Linked DNA regions of Sus scrofa. The protein of the gene in region 2 purifies or fractionates together with the protein of the main gene of each other region. This does not show direct contact. Links are inferred from orthologs where the notes say so. Each region holds a gene or a part of one and is shown on either strand. Other genes may lie near its edges.

The links. The genes of interacting proteins can lie anywhere in the genome.
Region 1: the proteins of CENPA (region 2) and NPM1 purify together in Homo sapiens (affinity purification with mass spectrometry; 4 studies listed by BioGRID and IntAct, with this or other methods). This does not show direct contact. The link is inferred for Sus scrofa from reciprocal best matches to the Homo sapiens genes CENPA and NPM1.

What each region holds. Positions count from the first base shown.
Region 1 is NC_010458.4:52,771,844-52,775,362, forward strand, and holds part of NPM1 (nucleophosmin), read right to left. Parts: intron 1,992-3,519; coding exon 1,934-1,991; intron 1,633-1,933; coding exon 1,549-1,632; intron 793-1,548; coding exon 691-792; intron 1-690. UniProt on the Homo sapiens protein: Involved in diverse cellular processes such as ribosome biogenesis, centrosome duplication, protein chaperoning, histone assembly, cell proliferation, and regulation of tumor suppressors p53/TP53 and ARF.
Region 2 is NC_010445.4:112,263,398-112,266,525, reverse strand, and holds the end of CENPA (histone H3-like centromeric protein A), read left to right. Parts: intron 1-365; coding exon 366-443; intron 444-867; coding exon 868-1,002; 3' UTR 1,003-2,614; downstream 2,615-3,128. UniProt on the Homo sapiens protein: Histone H3-like nucleosomal protein that is specifically found in centromeric nucleosomes. Replaces conventional H3 in the nucleosome core of centromeric chromatin that serves as an assembly site for the inner kinetochore.

The DNA of each region.
Region 1 (3,519 bases), on a different chromosome or scaffold from region 2:
AGCAGAAACAAATCCAACTAGGAACCATGAGGTTTTGGGTTCAACCCCTGGCCTCGCTCAGTGGGTTAAGTACTGGGCATTGCCGTGAGCTGTGGTTTGGGTGGCAGATGTAGCTAGGATCTGGCGTTGATGTGGCTGTGGTGTAGGCTCGCGGCTACAGTTCCGATTAGACCCCTAGCCTGGGAACCTCTGTATGCCAGGAGTGTGGCCCTAAAAAGCAAAAAAATAAAGTAAAAAAAAAAAACAAAATAAAAACGAAAAACCCCTACAATACCAAGCAGCCAAAGACTGGACTCTTGCAGCTGTGTGAAATTTTAGACAAGATTCATACGCCCCCTGCTGGCTCCATAGCATCTTATAACCAGAACCAGAACAGGCAAAGGTAAATGTTCTCATTGAGCTCACTTTAAAATCTGAAGACAGAATGTATCCCACGACTTATTTACTTGTATTCCTTTTAGTGGGAAATAAAGCATATGTAAATTGAAATGTGTGGGGAAAAAAAAATCACCATATGAAGTATAATGTAAGTAACTTGTAATCCATTTTTGAAGGAATTTCACACCACAAAAGGAGTGGTGTATTGAAGATAAAAAAATGAGGAAGAAGAGTCCTGTTCCAAATCCCAGAAAGGCATCATCTGAAGGAGAAATAAACCAATCCTGTTTTCTTTAAGACAGCTTTACTCACTTTTTCTATACTTGCTTGCATTTTTGCTTTAATGTCTTCTACAGAACTAGGTCCTTTCGGTGTTTTAGGAGTTTTTTCCTGTTTTTTGAAGGATTCTTGACCCTGGAAAAAAAAGGCAAATTTCAACATCCTAAGAGTACACAGAGCTGTTAAGACTCATTCTATCTGAATTTTCTCAATAAATGAAATTCTTACAAAGCTTTTCTTGTGAAAAACAAGTATAGGAGTTCTCCTGTGGCACAGTGGGTTAAGAATCCAGCATTGTCACTGCAGCAGCTATTTTTTGTGCTTAAATTATTCCTTAGAGAATAGAAAATAGTTTGAGCCTACATTTGTATTTAATACCAGGTCAAGTTCTACACATAAAGGAAGCAAGAAAGTTAATGCAGCTTGATGCCCAGAGGCCCATTCCCTAGCATATAAATGATCACCTCCCCAAGATGCAGCCAACACCGAGAAACTGCACTATAAGACCCTTGACACAACTTCGTATCACAATAAAAAAATCTTTGTTGACTTTCTCTTCCATTAGAAGTCAGCTACACAATAAACTGGCCCTCTATGTGACAGAAAATCTGTGTGTAACTAATTACAAGCCCTCCACATCTGTGGTTCCTCAACCAAAAGGTGGATGTGCAGTCCTGGAGTATTTACAACTGAAAAAAATCCTGTGTAACAATGGACCCGTGCATGCAGTTCAAACATAAACTGTTCAAGGATCAACTGTCTATGTATTTGAGTGATTACCAACAAGCATTTTTACCAACCACAGGTGTTCTCCAAAGGTCTAACAGATTTTAGGTTCTAGAACCTAATTACTTCAGTGGAGCCTGTACTGATGTGTATGTTACCACTTACTTTTGATCTTGGTGTTGACGGTTTTGAGTCTTTTCCATTCTGGTTTGATTTCTGTGCATTTTTGGCTGGAGTATCCCGTATTGACTGCAATTAGAAATTATTAATCAATGCTCCTCCTATATGACTTATTAGTGCAAATAAAACTTGCCAAACCATATAAAAGCAGCAAACTAAGAGGAAACAATTATCTTGGCAAAAGGGGTATAATAGGGAGAAGTCCATACAGCTGAAGAAAATAGATCATTCCCCACTATTAGGAAAATTTCCAGGACAGCCCTACTCAGGACTTAGAGACTGTCTCCGAAGCCAACAGCACTAAAAAAATCCCCATCATTTTCTGTTTTTAGCCATTTCTGACAATCTTACTTTACTGTGTCTTACTTACTTTCTTTACTGGAGCTTTTTCTTCCGCTTCCTCATCATCAAAGTCATCATCATCGTCACTACAAATGAAGCAAGTCCTTATTACTGAGGGACTCAAAAAATCTAAAAAACTTATCCAGGAAATGGATGAACCTACAAGCTTAGTCAATCAAGGTATAAAGAACTTTCAAACTTGTGGGGGTTGACAAAAGAACTGAAAGCATGGTCTTAAAGATAATCTGTGCTTTCATCTTCACTGCAGCATAACATTCCTAATTACTAAGAGGCAGAAGAAACACAAATGTTCAACAGTTAAAAATGTATTAAAAAAAAATCAGGAGTTCTCGCTATGGCGCAGTGGAAGCGAATCTGACTAGGAACCATGAGGTTGCAGATTCGATCCCTGGCCTCGCTCAGTGGGTTAAGGATCTGGCGTTGCAGTGAACTGTGGTGTAGGTCGCAGATGCAGCTCGGATCTGGTGTCGCTGTGGTGTAGGCTGGGGGCTACAGCTCTGATTAGACCCTTAGCCTGGGAACCTCCATATGCCGCAGGTGTGGCCCTAAAAAGACAAGACAAGAGACAAAAGACAAAAAAAAAAAAAAAATCCATAGGCGTTCCCGGCACGACTCAGCAGGGTTTGATCCCTGGCCTTGCTCAGTGGGTTGCCGTGAGCTGTAGTGTAGTTTGAAGACGTGGCTCCAACGTGGCGTGGCTGTGGCCGTAGGCTGGCGGCTACAGCTCCAATTGGACCCCTAGCCTGGGAACCTCCATATGCCTTGGGTTCAGCCCTAAAAAGGCAAAAAACCCACATCATATACCTATGTATACATATTGTGGAATATTCAGTCTTAAGGAAAATCCTGTCAAATGCAGCCCATGGATAAGTGTTCAGGGCATAATGCCAAGTGAAAGAAGGTATCACAAAGAGACAAATACCGTGTAAGTTCACTTACACTGAAATATCTCAAGTAATCACTTTTTACAGAAACCAAAAGATTGATGGTCGCCAGGGGCTGGGAGGAGGCAGAAATGGGGACTTTTTGTTCAACAGTTATGGTTTTCAGTAGAGTTCTGAGATGTCACACAACGATGTGAATATGGTTAAAACTACTGGACTGTAGACTTAAATAGTGAAGATAGTAAACAGTGAGTTGTTTTTTACAGCTGAGAATTTAAAGAAAATGGATATTTAAAGAAATTAAAATAGAAACATTCCACACACACAGACAGTACAAGATTAAAGTGGCAACTCTCCAAATTAATCTACAGATTTAACAATCTCTAAAAGAATCCTAGCTGGCTTATAAACTGATCCTACAACTCATACTGAAATTCCAAGAACCCAAAGTAGCCACAAACAACCTTGGAAGAGAACAAAGTTGAAGCATTCACATTAAGTGATTTCAAATTGAAATTTATAAAAACCACAAAACAGAAATCAGGATAGTGTTTTACTGGCCAAAGGATCAACATATTCCCATAGACTGGCACTGAGGAGTCCAGAAATAAACTCTTATTCATGCTAACTTCACCCTATTAACAAGAGGGCAAAGGCCATTCAATGGGGAAAGTCTTTCACAAATGGTGCTGGGGACCATTCAAAGCGG
Region 2 (3,128 bases):
ACCCAATGAATTCATTACATTTATAGTTGTACGATGACATCACAATCCAGTTTTATAGAGACATTATGTCCTTTGATTATGCAAACCCGAACCCTCTCATCCAGCCACCCTTTCATCCCTTGCCCCGCCCTGGGACATGGTCTCCTCCGCTCCACCCCCCACAAGAAGAGACGTGCCATCTCCAGGCTCCCTGGACTTGACCCCAGCCACTAGTCAGGTCCTCGGACGAAGGGCCGGGGAGGAAAAGCGGAAACGGAGATTCCTGGAGACTCACGGAGAGAGGCTGTCCTCTCTTGAATCTCCCTTTCCTCTCTGCTCCTCCCCGCTCCCCTTCTCGCTTGCTCGCCATCCCCCGTCTTTCCCAGGCACGAGAAATATGTGTTCAGTTCACTCGTGGTGTGGATTTCAATTGGCAAGCCCAGGCCCTGCTGGCCCTACAAGAGGTGAGAAGGGGGCCCAGGTCCAGTTGGGTGAGGGGTGCATGTGGGAGAAAGGTAGCGCTGAATCTCACCTCCTTTATTTTTTATTTTATTTTATTTATGTATTATTTATTTATTTTGGCCCCGCTTGCAGCATGTGGAAGTTCCTAAGTCCCGGGCCAGGGATCGAACCCAAACCACAGCAGTGACCCAGGCTGCTGCAGTGACAACACCAGCTCCTTCACCCGCTGCGCCACAAAGGAACGCCTCACCTCCTAGCAAAGAGCAACAGGGAACACCCAGGGGGTTGAAGGGTGGATTCATGCTGGCTGGCGAACAGTCTCTCCCATGTCCTTTGAGCCCTTAGAGACTCAGTTAGCAGGTGCCCCCTGCCCGCCTCCATCCCCCTGGTCTGTGTCAGCCTTTCTACCTCTCTCTCTGTCCCCAGGCGGCAGAAGCGTTTCTCGTTCATCTCTTTGAGGACGCCTACCTCCTCTCCCTGCACGCCGGCCGCGTGACTCTCTTCCCCAAGGACATCCAGCTGGCCAGGAGGATCCGGGGCATTCAGGAAGGGCTCGGCTGAGCTCCCGCCGCCGGTGTCGCTGGAAGCCTCCCCTGCCCCCCCAGAGAATGAGTGCACTTGGGGGAAAACCACCCAGCCTCCCATCACCTCTGAAGGAATTTGCCTTCTCCATCCTTGGTCCTTTGCTGCCCCGCCTGCCCTTTGTTCTCTGGAAAAGATCCGACTAAGTTTTAACTTGAGTGCCTGGGATTCTTTTGAACAATGTTCTCCTTGACTTTATGACCAGACAACGTGCATCTCTGCCAGAGGAGTCCTCTCCACTTCACAAAGACCAGATGACCTCATTTGGATTAAAAGAAAGTTGTTTTTTTTTAATGCCTTGTTAATAAATGTGATTCCTGAATTTCAGAGATGATACCCAGGACTCTGCCCGTTGCAGGACCAGATCCGCGGAGGACGTGTGAGGTGCCGTCTGGACTTGCCGTCCCAGAGCTGTGTGCACGCATTGCTTTTGTAATTCGTTTTTTTTAAGGTGGAGAAGACCGTATGGCTTTCCTCTGTAACCGAGGTGATGTATGAGAGAATCAACACATTCCACAAGCCCTGAGAAAAATTTTTCAGATGAAGAGACTCCAAGGTTGATGTCACTTTGAAAATTATTCATGTGACTGTTGGATGCTTTTGAAGACATCAGGTGTTCTAGGTTATGGGAGAAAAGAATATTTATTGATTATTTTAGATCTTTCTGTACCATGTAATTTTTTTTTTTTTTAACCATATGTCTATTTACATTTATTTAAAACACAAGGGAAAAGTTAAAAGAAGACCACCTCAGGCAGTTGCATGGAAGAGCCTGACTCAGGTAGCATACAACTTTCTGTCCTTCAGATTGATTTCATCCTTAGTGGCAGCAGCCACTTCCTCTGTGCACTGTGCCTGTCACCAGATCGTAGCTTTTCAAAAAACTCAATGGGACGAAAATAGAAAATCGTTCAGGTTTGATGTCCTGGCTCCTTCTGGTAAATTCCTATCAAAATCATTCAGAAATTCGCACTCGTGGAATTTTATTCTCCTTTGAAAAATCAGAGAAGATGTATCATAGTTTATACGTTAGAATGTTTCATTCCAGGATTTTAAAGTGCCTTTGCGATGTTTTTACAGGTATTTTTTTATAAATTCTTTGTGGAGAGAGAATAATAATAAAAGCAATTTTTTAATGAGAAAAATTGAAGCGGTGCTACTGTTTTACAGCGATTGTACTGTGTTCTCTTGTGGTAGCGCTGACTTATTCGCCTGGACACTGTTTGCCAACGGCTGCAATTTAAACAAGAGAACTGGGGGCGGGGGTGCTTTTGGCCTCCACTGGCCCAGAGTATGAGCAGATTAAAAACCTGGCCTTTCTGTTGTGACTGAAAGCGGTTTAAGAGATTTCCAGGGACATGGAAGTACCAGCCAAGAAAGACTTTTAGATTTTTGTGGATTTTGCGTGTGGTAAAAATGATTCGTGAGGGGCAGATACCAGCAATCCAGCGATCATGTGTCATTCAACGAAAGGGAACCACTGGATTCTGTTGTTTGGTAAATTTTAACCCTTTGGAAAAACCTTTTCCCATTCAACCTCAACTCACTTCGATGTAGACATTTGAATAAAGCTTCTCTGTCTATGAATATATTTAATGTCAGAGGGTTATTAATCAGAAGATTATTCTCTTCCTCTAGTTTTCTTTCTTTCTTTCTCTCTTTTGTGCTGTTTAGGGTGGCTGGTATATGGAGGTTTCCGGGCTGGGGTCAAATCGGAGCTGCAGCTGCCGGCCACAGCCACAGCCACAACCACACCAGAAGTGAGCCACATCTGGGACCCACACAGCCCAAAGCAACTCTGGATCCTTAACCCACTGAGCAAGGCCAGGGATCAAACCACATTCTCATGGATCCTAGTCATATTTGTAACCCACTGAGCCACAACGGGAACCCCCTAGTTTTCTTTAAATTGACGCTTCTCTGTTTTCTTAAAATTGTATTAACCAGGACAGCCCTGCAGCACATGGTCACGTGTCACATTCAGATGCAGGCAGGATTTATGCTCTCAGCACCTCGAGTATCCGGTAACATGAGAATAAGTGATTCACAGGGTGACTGTGTTGTTTGCTGTTGCGGTTGACTAAACAGCACTCACGGTTGCTGAT